Linked DNA regions of Oryzias latipes. The main gene of each other region encodes a partner of the protein of the gene in region 3 in a complex. Links are inferred from orthologs where the notes say so. Each region holds a gene or a part of one and is shown on either strand. Other genes may lie near its edges.

The links.
Region 1: taf1c (region 3) and tbp share a complex: the UniProt entries of both Homo sapiens proteins name them as parts of the transcription factor SL1/TIF-IB complex. The link is inferred for Oryzias latipes from reciprocal best matches to the Homo sapiens genes TAF1C and TBP.
Region 2: taf1c (region 3) and polr2h share a complex: the UniProt entries of both Homo sapiens proteins name them as parts of the pol I pre-initiation complex. The link is inferred for Oryzias latipes from reciprocal best matches to the Homo sapiens genes TAF1C and POLR2H.

The regions. Positions count from the first base shown.
Region 1 is NC_019861.2:24,481,923-24,486,074, forward strand, and holds the start of tbp (TATA-box-binding protein), read right to left. Parts: upstream 2,801-4,152; 5' UTR 2,698-2,800; intron 2,312-2,697; 5' UTR 2,137-2,311; coding exon 2,086-2,136; intron 1,662-2,085; coding exon 1,496-1,661; intron 1,377-1,495; coding exon 1,199-1,376; intron 965-1,198; coding exon 877-964; intron 654-876; coding exon 562-653; intron 1-561. Other genes in the region: psmc3 (26S protease regulatory subunit 6A), read left to right, coding at 2,856-3,800, 3,973-4,152. UniProt on the Homo sapiens protein: The TFIID basal transcription factor complex plays a major role in the initiation of RNA polymerase II (Pol II)-dependent transcription.
Region 2 is NC_019862.2:11,777,377-11,781,317, reverse strand, and holds the start of polr2h (DNA-directed RNA polymerases I, II, and III subunit RPABC3), read right to left. Parts: upstream 2,806-3,941; 5' UTR 2,655-2,805; intron 2,508-2,654; exon of another isoform or gene 2,317-2,507; intron 1,613-2,316; 5' UTR 1,592-1,612; coding exon 1,519-1,591; intron 1,141-1,518; coding exon 1,057-1,140; intron 788-1,056; coding exon 694-787; intron 592-693; coding exon 508-591; intron 355-507; coding exon 237-354; 3' UTR 1-236. Other genes in the region: lisH domain-containing protein ARMC9, read left to right, coding at 3,671-3,745, 3,885-3,941. UniProt on the Homo sapiens protein: DNA-dependent RNA polymerase catalyzes the transcription of DNA into RNA using the four ribonucleoside triphosphates as substrates.
Region 3 is NC_019870.2:29,159,912-29,163,999, reverse strand, and holds the start of taf1c (TATA box-binding protein-associated factor RNA polymerase I subunit C), read right to left. Parts: upstream 2,801-4,088; 5' UTR 2,470-2,800; coding exon 2,353-2,469; intron 1,814-2,352; coding exon 1,702-1,813; intron 207-1,701; coding exon 157-206; intron 1-156. UniProt on the Homo sapiens protein: Component of the transcription factor SL1/TIF-IB complex, which is involved in the assembly of the PIC (pre-initiation complex) during RNA polymerase I-dependent transcription.

The DNA.
Region 1 (4,152 bases), on a different chromosome or scaffold from region 3:
TTTTATTTTTTTCTCAATAAATTCAGTAAACCCAATAAAGTATATCCATTTCATGCATGACAACTATTTTTTATTAGGAAGCACCTCTTAGTTTGTTGCGGGTCTGGAATCATAAGCGGTGAGTCTAAGCCCCGCCCCCGTCTCTCTACATGTTCCTCTGCAACTCCAAGTTGTTTTCCCCCGCCTACAGCCCCCCCCCTCAGCGTGTTCTACACAGACAGCGCAACATACGGTCATCATACCAGCAAGTTGACAGGATGTAGGGGCGCCCTAACGCAAATGTAATTAATTTTACGCAGAAATGGGTTGTTTTAGTCTAGGAAAACCACATAGAGCCATAAAGCTGCAGCACAGGGATGAAAGAGCCGCATGCGGCTCCGGAGCCCCAGGTTGCCGACCCCTGGACTAAGTCATTCATTAATATCAATGGGCAAGTCTGTCTAAATTTTTGACTGCTGGATTTATCATTAGAAATAATTTGACATCAAATTTGACATCAAATAGTACATTTTGCAAAACATTTTAAATCATATAAAGCTAAAAAACAAGTCCCACTCTTACCTTTTGGCTCCAGTGCAGACCATCTTCCCAGAGCTGAAGATGAGAGCTGTAGTTCTTGGTTCTCGTATTCTCATAATGACTGCAGCAAAACGCTGGAAGGTGGCATAGTAACGGCAACATTACAATGTTTTTCCCACTTCAGTTGTAGAGCTTTCTAACTTTACAAACGTAGCCGTATTTTGGAAATATAAGGCCTGTTTTGTTTAAGGTTTAGACGGATGATGGCCCAAAGTAAATAAATTCATTTGCCTTACTTGCTTACAAATCAAAGCTAACAGTTAAAAAAACATGAAAAGATGATCAGTTTGGGATTACCTTTGGGTTGTATTCAGCATTCCTGGCTCTTAAGGCAATAGTCTTCAGGTCCAATTTACAACCCAGATTTACAGTAGAAACTATGTTTCTAGTGGCAAAAAAAACAAATGGGACAACGTTATTTTAATAAAAACATTGCATTTAGTTGTGTAAAAAAACATTTAGAACAATAAAACATTTAAAACGAATTTTCTTTAAATGTATCCATTTTTAAAATAAATTCAATTTCCTTTTTCATGTATAACCCAAAAAGTTAAATTTGTAAATGGGTATGCAGTATTAGTCAATGTTCTCATCTCTCTGTGAATCGTATGCAACGTACTGTAGCTGTGGTACGATGCCAGAGCTCTCTGAGGCAGGTGTTGCTGGAGCGATGGGGGTCATAGGCGTCACCGGAGCGCTGTAGAGCGGGGTGTTCCCCGGTAGCGCAGTGGTAGTTGAACCTGGTACTGGCTGAGAATGAAAGAGCTGTGGAGTCTGTCCTGATGCTCCTGGAAGACCTATGAGACAATACCAATTATCTTTTCTTAGTAAAAAAACACAAATCCAGTAAATTAAATACATTTTTAGATTCACCTCAACATAAGAGAAAAGAATATGAATAAAAAGTTTGTTTTACCTGTGTTCAACTGCTGTGTTTGTTGCTGCTGCTGTTGTTGTTGCTGTTGCCTCTGCTGCTCCTCCAGTATGGACAAACTGTTTGTGTTTTGTACTGGCTGGGGCGTGAGGCCCGAGCCGTACGGCATCATGGGACTGAACACTGGCATGGTTGGGGTCATCACACCCTGCATAATACAATACCACCACGTTGTTAAATTAGAAGAAAGTTTTTTTTTTTTTTAAAAGCTCAGTATTTACAGTAATGCAAAATATGACCTGCAGTATGACTTTCTGAAGCAACCGGAAATCATGCTCTGATTAAATGTAATCGTAGATACAATACAGAAATACAAAATAAAAGAATCATGATTTCCTTAATGAAATTTATATTTCAGTCATAAATATCTTGAAAATAAATATATCAAATTTAAATAAAAGTAACTCATATTCAAAACTAACCAAAACATATGTAATAAGTTGAAATTGAGAACTTATCAATATTTTTCTCAATATTTTGTGATGACCCGATCATGTAATTAGAAATATTATATTTGTGAAATGTTTGTTTTATGAAAACCATTTTGAAGAAACCAAAGCGGAGATTAATACCGGAGGTGAAGCCAGGCCTTGAAAGGCTTGGATGCTGTTGTTTTGGTCCATGTTTTGTGCTTCTCCCGTTCCAACACTGCCAACCACTATTAGGCAGTTGTCCAATCCACTTTCGCAGCAGGTGCCTTGAATTGAGAGGGCTCTATGTACGTAGAAAAAGACCACTAGAATAAAAATAGACTTCACAATCTCCCCTGTTTTTTTCCACAATGCTGAGTCCAGAACGCTGAAAAACAGAAGATGTGTGTGTGTGTACACAGAAGAGAAGTTAGCAAAACTAGAACAGAAATAAGAGCGCGAACATAAAAGAAACATAATATTCTGAGTCACGAGGTCTGCAGTTACCGTGAACCTCATTGTGTGGCCTTTCAAATGCTTTTTTTTAAATCATTAATTCTTGTCTATAGACGATCAGTTCTCTCGTAGCACATCTGACAGCCTTCAAATTAAACACACCGGCTAGCTGAAGTTAGCTGCATAGCTAAAGTAAGCTAGCATACACATAGGGATACAAACCCTTTTCTGTGGCGTAAAGCGTTTGCCGCGTTAAAAAAAGTTGAAAACTAAACTATATGTGTTGAAAGAAAAGCCTGTTAATGAAAGGCAACTTACTGGTATCGTTTTGGAGCTGAAGTGACCACAAAAACAAGATAATGCGAGCTTAGCTTGTTTTATCTAACGCTCAGTCTGGGAAGAAAATGCTTGGCTCCTTCCGGAAGAAGAAGCTTTAACTTCCGGCGTGTCACAGCGCGCAGTCAGACAGAGCAAAGATGGCGTCGCTGAGTGACAAATCAGTTTGGGACGAGGTGGAAGATGGAATCGGAGAAGAAGTGTTAAAAATGTCCACAGAGGAGATAGTCCAGCGCACTCGTCTCCTCGACAGCGAGATAAAGATCATGAAGAGCGAAGTGCTTCGGGTGACTCATGAGCTCCAGGCCATGAAGGATAAAATCAAAGAAAACACGGAGAAGATAAAGGTGAACAAAACTCTGCCGTACTTGGTTTCGAACGTGATTGAGCTGCTGGATGTGGATCCCAACGACCAAGAGGAAGATGGGGCAAATGTGGATTTGGATTCCCAGAGAAAAGGAAAGTGCGCTGTCATTAAAACCTCCACCCGGCAGACATACTTCCTGCCGGTGATCGGGCTGGTGGACGCCGAGAAGCTGAAACCTGGAGATCTTGTTGGGGTCAACAAAGACTCCTACCTGATCCTGGAGACCCTGCCCACAGAGTACGACTCCAGAGTTAAAGCCATGGAGGTGGATGAGCGTCCCACTGAGCAGTACAGCGACATAGGCGGCCTTGATAAGCAGATCCAGGAGCTGGTGGAGGCTATAGTCTTGCCTATGAACCACAAGGAGAAGTTTGAGAACCTGGGCATCCAGCCACCCAAAGGGGTTCTCATGTACGGCCCACCTGGTACAGGAAAAACCCTCCTGGCCAGGGCCTGTGCTGCTCAGACCAAAGCTACCTTCCTAAAGCTGGCAGGTCCGCAGTTGGTACAGATGTTCATTGGAGATGGCGCCAAGCTGGTCAGAGATGCCTTCGCTTTGGCTAAAGAGAAAGCTCCGTCCATCATCTTCATCGATGAACTGGATGCTATTGGAACGAAGAGGTTCGACAGCGAGAAGGCTGGAGATCGAGAGGTGCAGAGGACCATGCTGGAGCTGCTCAACCAGCTGGACGGTTTTCAGCCCAACATGCAGGTCAAGGTAAAGATGCTTTCCATGTAAACATTTGTGTAAAACTAATTGTAATTAGTTACAGCATTATATTCTTTAATCTTTTAAAATGGTTGCTAAATTTTACATTTAAACTTTAGCATGCACTCTAATAATGTTGTGCTCCAGGTCTGACCACAGTGCTCTTGTAAATCCTTCATAGGTGATTGCTGCCACCAACAGAGTGGACATCCTGGACCCTGCTCTGCTTCGTTCAGGTCGGCTCGACAGAAAGATCGAGTTCCCCATGCCGAACGAAGAGGCCAGAGCTCGCATCATGCAGATTCACTCCCGCAAGATGAATGTCAGTCCTGATGTCAATTATGAGGAGCTGGCTCGCTGC
Region 2 (3,941 bases), on a different chromosome or scaffold from region 3:
AATGAAGTTAATCAACACTTGTAATTGTTTTGTATAAAAGAAAGAAATATTTATTTACAGTGTACCACCAAGTGGAAATCACAGACCTCAGTGTAGTTTGTTGGAGGAACTATAAAAAATACAACAGAGGTTTACAAAAACATGGTGTTTTGTCTCTAAGATGTTCATATGTTCCACTTTTCTAGATCCCAGTTTTACAAAGGTGGATGAAGGCGGTAGAAAACAGAGGAGGGGGGTTAAAAGGCCAGCTTCTTCATGAGGAGATAGACTCTGGAGTCTACCTCAAAGCCGTGTAGATTGTTGGCATCTCCCTGCAGCCTCATGAGAAGGCCTCCATAAGACACATAGGCTGAGCTGAAAGAACAAGCACATCATTAGAGGACTTGATCAACATTTACACATACATACAGTTTATTTAAATTTTTACTAATCACTAAATTGACAGCACTTGACTTTTAACTTAAATAAAGGATTGTAATGATCTACATGCATTTGTGTAGAACTTACAGACGCGTGGCTGCTTCTGTTGAGGTCTCATCGCCTTCTATCTTGTAGACCTTTCCATACATTACATAGTCAAACTGAGCTGCCCTAGAAACAATTTAAAAATGGAAGATGAATCAAAAGCATCACACATTATCTGCCACAGATTGAAAGACATGGATGTTCATTTATCTTCTTTAAATGCCTTGCCTAGATGGTCGATCATCCTGGGGATTGTACTCTCCATCATCTGGCGTTCCATCTTCATATAATGTACTGGCAATCACCAGTCTGAACTTGTCCCCTTTTTGAAACATGCAAAAAAAAATCTGGATTTATCATAGCAATGTACATAATCACCTAAGATCAAGCTACACTTCTAATACAATAGTTTTACATTGAGTCAAAACTGAGTTAAAATAACTTATCAATTCTGCACCAACACCTTACAAGAGTGAAGAATGACAGTTTCACTAAATACTACCAATAATCAATTTAAAAATTCCTCCACAAAGGCCAAATGTCTAAGATCAAACAAGACATAAACAATAAAGGACATTGTTAATTTCTTACCAAGATCAACAGGATAAATCTGAGTATTTACATCCAAGATCAGGTCCATCTTGAAAGATTCACTTTCACAATGCAGACGAGACACTGCAGTATAAGTAATAATAACCTGTATTAGTTTATATTAAAGAGAACTGAAAACATTATGAAACTGACTAACGCGCTTTTAGATATCCATCTTTTTCAAGCAAATGCATATAATGATTATGTTTGTTATTGTGTTAGTTTTAAAGCTACTAAAAAGCAGGATTGAAGGTTTCCCAACTCAGTAATGTGATGACTGTAATGTTTAGCTGTAATAAAATAATAAAATAAAAGCTGTAATTACTGACAACACAATTTTTTAGTCACACTTAACACAATATGAACAAAAATGCAATATACAATTGTAATTATGACTTTTACAACTGAAACTATCTACTGGTGAAGATCGTTTTTGTGTTTTTACAGTGACAGTCCACATACCTCTGTCAAATTTCTTGCCATCTGGATCAATGTCTTTCACATCAAAAATATCTTCAAACAAAATCCCAGCCATCTTTATCCCTTTCTGTTAAACCTAAAACAGATTCATCATAAAACAAAATTAAAAGGGAAGGTTAGTCACACAGCAAAGCATTTTACGTAGCCAAGTCAATCAAGAAAAACACACTATAGCAGTGAGTGCTATATTGTGTTTTTCACAGTTTCAGTGTGAAATTCCTATGACTCTTCTTTCTTCTTTCTTTCTCTTTCGGCTTTTCCCATCAGGGGTCGCCACAGCGAATCATCCTTTTCCACCTCACTCTATCATGAACATCTTCTACCCTAACATTAGCCAACTTCATGTCCTCTGTTAAGACATCCATATATCTCCTCTTTGACCGTCCTCTTGGCCTCCTGCCAGGCAGCTCCATCTCCAACATCCTTCTAGTTCTACCAATATATCCACTATCCCTCCTCTGAACATGTCCAAACCATCTCATTCTGGCTTCTCTGACTTTGTCGCTAACACAGGCAACATGGGCCGTCCCTCTGATGTACTCGTTCCTTATCCTGTCTAACCTGGTCACTCCTAAGCGTTCTGGTCCCGATCTTGACTATAATTAATTAAAAACAAGTTAAAAAGAAAAAGGAATAGGTCAAAACAAATGGAAATCACAAAGCTCTCCCACCGTGTCAAAGTGGGTGAACAAAACTTGTCACAACTTTGGACAACTTTAACAATGTTCACTTACGCGCTAACTGTAGCATCATGTTGTCCACACAAAATATAATACTTACCCCCAAGTGCTGTTCTTGTATTTTTGTGTAAATAGTATGCCCTGGAATGTGGTGAATTCGTGTAAAAACGATAATAATGTAACCTAGACGTCAGATATTTGATTTAGATAGATTTTCATTCATTATTAAGCGAAATAGTCGGTACCGCGCAGAACCAGCGTGTTCGACCTTTGACATAACAAGAACTTCCGTTTTTTTGTCTCTTTTTTTCTTTTAAAAGAAAGACGCATGTTTTGCTTTACTGAATGTTATACATTTTTTAGAAAGGGAAAAATGCGTTGCGATGGTGTAATGTAGAAAAAATGATCACTAAAATAACACCAATTAAATTTGCCTACCGTTTTATTTGAAGGCTCACAATAGGTCAAAGATGGGGAAAAAACGAATAATATTTTGGCTAAATTTTACGTAGCAAATAAAAAAAAGATTTTTATAAAAGTATTTGTTTTCTCTCAATTATTTAACTGATAATTTAAGTAACCAACAACTGAACTAATTTTACGACAGTTTTTACTAACTTCCGTCTGTCGTCATCTTGTTGCTAGGTGCGTTTAGCGTCCTCTGTGTGGACGGTTGCTAGCTAATGTTAAGGCTGTTGTTTTTACCATAAGCGTCATTATATCGAAAAAATAATTACCAATATACATTTTAAGCATAAATAAAATATTTAATGAAACTTCTAATGCGGATTCTTACCAAGAAAAGATGGTCAAACGAGGTAAGGAACGCTCATCATGTGAACAAACCTGACTGAAACAATTATTGACTAGCTTCCTGCAGTTTGCAGCTCTTCAAATCTCTGCCGTTATAGTTAACGTGTTTTCCGCTATAAAATGCATACAAAGATGAAAATAATTTTTTTTTGATCATAGTAGTAACATTAGGATGGTCTTAGTTTTAGGGCAGGGATGTCCACTTAGTTTCTTCTGTTTAGTTTAGCAATCAGCTATTGAATTCTATGACTTTATGTTCTTTATGATTCATGTTTATTACACAATTACCGGAATGAAGCCCATTGAGATGACTATTGCTGTAAATATTGGGCTATAAATACAATGTAATTGAATTGAATACAACTACAGTAACCTCGGTTGGAACAAACAAATAATAATTCGGAAAGAAAACTGAAACCGTACAAGTTAATACAGGTTGTAATTATTTGCTCTTGTTCGAATAAGCAAGACTGGTCATCTTTACATTAAAACGTGAAATTATTGAAGTATTTTTTTCTTTTTCTTTTTGCCTGTCTGTGCTATTCTGTCTGTTCAGACTGTTACCTGTTTTTTGTAAGTGCAAAGGAATTTCAAACTGAGCCCCAAATGACGGCCGGTATTTTGACAGCTGTGGTCCACGGATGAGTTCAACTAAGACAGCCAAGATGGGAGACATCTTGGCAACTGAAGCCGATCTCCTTGGGATGATTAAAGAGGTAAAGCATGATAGGGATGTGAAGAAAAAAACTGCAATTAAAATCCATAATCTGTTTATTCTGATAGTTGATCTAACATTTCAATGTATTCCACGATGGTGATTGTATAATTAACACACTTTGTGTTTGTTCTCTTTAGTACCTGAAGTTTGGGGAATTTGAAGAAACGGTTCAAATTTTTGACAAAGAATGTAAA
Region 3 (4,088 bases):
TAGCCTCCGGCTTTGGTTTCCCTCAGAGCAGAGAGAGGACCTGCTGAGTAACGCAGCAGAGCCAGCCTCACTTTGATCATAACCCTGCTTGGCTGATGCTCTGCCATCAAAGGGAACCATATGAGGCTGTCAGTGCATGAACTGCTGCTTCCTTACGTGTTCAGTGAAGTCTGCCGGCTCTGGAGGCGTCACAGATGGGAGAAAAGCTGGAACAGAGGACATTCACAGATAACACCACTGTATTCAATAAAACAGCCTCAAACATTTCACTTCCCTGTTTGAAAACGTGAAGGTTCTCCAGCCCCCTGATGATCAGCTGACTGCTCCAGTGATCCAGTGGATCAACTTCAGTAAACTTCTCATCCTAAGTTGTTATTTCAGTCCGTTTCTCCTGAGGTGAAACGTTCTAAAGGGTCTTTATCATGCAGAATCAACTTGTGGAGCTTTTCAGTGTTTTATAATCTTCATTCTTCACTATAAACAACCCAAAGTAGTATTTGGATCCATTCATGAATGTCTGAGTGTTCCTCTAAAAACCTGCTCTCTGAGCACCAGCCCCTCCCAAAACCAGTGCGTTCTCACACTGTGACATCACAAAGTGAGGAACCGCCCCTTTCAGGAAGAGTCTGCCCTGCCAGCCCCGCCTCCAGGCTAATAGACACGCCCACTCTCTCAGTGAAGCTAGCGGTGATCGGGTAGACGCTTTCCTTTCAATACACAATATGCACATCCATCTTTGGAAAAGTTTGAATGTTTTCGTAGGAGAAACGTAGACACTAGGATGATGTCATGAAATGGGCGGAGCCCACAAGGAGAGAAAGGCGGAGCCTCGGAGATCGAGTCATCTTACTTCCAGGTTGGAAAATGAGCTGAAAGTAACTTATATTTCATAAGAACTGTGTCAAAGGTAACAGATAGTCCTATGTGGACATTGTTGACTCTGAAAGGTTCTCAGGGAAAGGTAAAGGCTCTTTAAGCTGCTCTACAAGCTTAAAGCTTCTCTGTGTTTAACGTGTTCTTCCGACATTTTTTCATGATTGAGGACAAAATTAGTATTTCTTTATTTAAATTGTTGTAAATCAGGATAAATTCCATTTGATACAGAGCTTATTTGTTGAGCAACAAATGTGCTGGGCGTGGCCAAAGTCTCCATGCTCCGCCCCTTTCTGATCATCCACCTGCAGACCAACAGACCCATGAACGTCTTTGTTTTCCTGCTCTGAGCTGGAATCTGGATCAGAAATGGACTTCTGTGTAGCTACAGTACAGTTTTTTTTAACGGTAACGTTAGCTTGGATTCGTGAGGGGCTGTACGCCAGGGAAACGACAGCGTGCTTACTCTGCGCCAACAGTCCCGCCCACAACGCAGAGGTGAATTTCTAATGAACTCCTGCTGCTCTGAAGATTCAATGTCCTAGAAAACGACACAGGATTTTGGCTAAAAACAAAATCACCATTATCCAAAGACCAATGGGACTTGGAACGCCTTGATTTGTAGGATTCTCCAAAACTCCCCAGACGATTGTGAGATCAACCTGCTGTGCAACAGAGAGTTTTCTACAATCAGTGTCTCCTTATGCATGAATCTATGCCGCCGTACTCTTCCAGCGGAGAAGACAAACGGGTTTCAGTGGATAGAATCACATCAAATGCCTCGTCTCGTAGCAGAGGCTCAATCTCCTGCAGGAGAAAGCAGCTCACCGCTTCTGGGAGACAGGAGCGGGACGGGCACAGGCTCGGCGTGGAGCCACGTCTCCCCGCTGACCTGGTGTCTGGAGGTAAAGGACCAGCTGGAGCCAGGACCCGCCCCTTCCTGTAAACACACAGAAACAGCGAAGCTCAGGCGGTTTCTGCAAACCAGATATTTTTCTGCCAATCTGCAAAAAAGGTGTGATGGGCATCAAACGCTAGAGAGACGCTCACTCCACCACTGCGCTGATCAGACCTGCCTTACACCAGGATTCCAATTATTACCCTTTAGTTTCATTTACATTCATCAACATAAACATTCAGCCTGGATTTGCTGGACATGCAGCTCCTTCTAGTGTTTTGGTCGTTGAGGTAATTTTGCTGCAGATGGATCGTGATGATTCTTTGTTGCACATGATCCTGTCTCATTTTAAAAAGAGTCCCTGACCTTTTGTAGACCGTAAAAAAACAAAAACACATCTTTATATTTCAGTCTTTATCATGACAAAGAACCAATTATTTTCTATGTCGCATAATAACTAAGCGACATACACTAAGGTGCATTTATTGTGGAGTCCCGGAATCGAAGCCCCGTGTTTCGGGAATATGGATGATGATTGAGATGACACACCATGAGGCAGGCCGTTGCACCAAATGACCCACCTGAGGAATGACGCGCTCGTAACTGCCCCATCCGCCCGCGCAGGGCTTCTGCCTCGAATTCGGGGGTCCGTGGTTGTAAAACGAAGGGAAAAGTTTCAGAGGGAACCGATGATCCATTCGATCCCTTTTGATCTGCTGAAGTAACTTCCAGGCGTCCGGATTTGTGTCACGGCGGGTGATTCCCGGGAACACGTCCGCACATGTCTAACGGCTCGGCTACGCTGTTAGCTCCGCGGCGCGCGCCTGTTAGTCGGACAAAAGGAAAGCTGCGTCGGCGCGACCGCCGCGTGACAGGAATCCACTCGATCCCACGAACGCACGTCCAGACCGAGGTGAAAACACGGCGGCGTCCAAAGACACCACGGACAAACGCAGCTCTTCAAGAACCTCGATCAACACGTGTTCAAGCTCCGACTGTAACCGGAAGTCCAACTCAATAACAAAACAAGAACTTCCGCTACATTTGAAAAAAAAAAGTTTTTAATAATAGAAATAGACCTAGAATAAAGTTGGATGACCCCCTCCAAACAAATGACATTAATAGGTGTGAAAACGTTTTACAATAAAATATCACAACAAAGTTAATACAGAAACGTTCGACATAAATAACAACAACAATGGTCAAACATTATTTATTTATATATTATTATTATTATTATTATTATTATTATTATTATTATTATTATTATTATTATTATTATTATTATTATTATTAATTAAGTAAACAATTCAGTTTGATGGCAACAGTTTAAAAAACAACTTCAAAATAAGAGTTCAAACCGCAAACCAACCTATAAAACATTAAACTGTGAGGGGCAAAGGGAGAAAACTCACAGTGATATCATGCAAACTCTACCATCACAGCAAAATGTCTGACTTCATGTTTGTATCGGTTATAACTCAATTTAAAAGCACAGTATATATTTCCGCGGTGTTTTATTTTCCCGGGACCGGATGTAGCCGTCACACGTCCACCGATCAGCTGACTGCACAGATCGATCCGTCTGAGGAGCAGCGGCGTGAAGGATCCGGGCGAAGGCTTGTGGTTCTCCTGCAGTCTCTGCGTCTGAGGCCTCGTCGTTGGACTGCGGTCCCCGGTGAGTCTGAACGCTCCCCTCCGGAGGGTTTTGGTTTGGAGGCTAACCCGGAAGTCAGCGTACTGCAGTCTGGGTTAGCGTTAGCATGTCGCGCGGCTAGCCCTCCCTGAGTCCGTCTGGATGTCAGCCGCAGGATCGCGTCGGTTCGGGGTTAGGGTAGTCTTCCTCCGAGGATGAAGTCCGTGTCTGCTCTGGAGTCTGCCTGGAACTGATCAGGTTTGAAGGAAACTCCAAGGTGACGCGGTCAGTTCAGTGTTTTTCTCCGTGGGGACGGCCCGGGGTCGTGACTTACCGCATGCTAATCCTCGCGTGAATCGGTGCGGGGCCTTACGGACTCTGCGGGTTGACTGACAGCTGTGTTGAAGTGTTTGTGATGCGACATCTCAGTTTTTTCTCAGCTCAGTGCTGGTTTGCTTTGAAGAATTCAGATGTCTGCAGTGTTCCTCTACGGTGGCCGAGACGGTGCAAGACACGTTGACATACAACAACTACAAATCCCAGATGAACAAATACTGAAACACAACAACGAAAGGTTGACTGGGTTTCTGTAAGCATTCTGTTTTCCTGGAACCTGGCGTGTCATTGAACACATCTGCAGATTATGAAGGGAGGATGAGGATTGGTGTTGTGGTTTCTGCA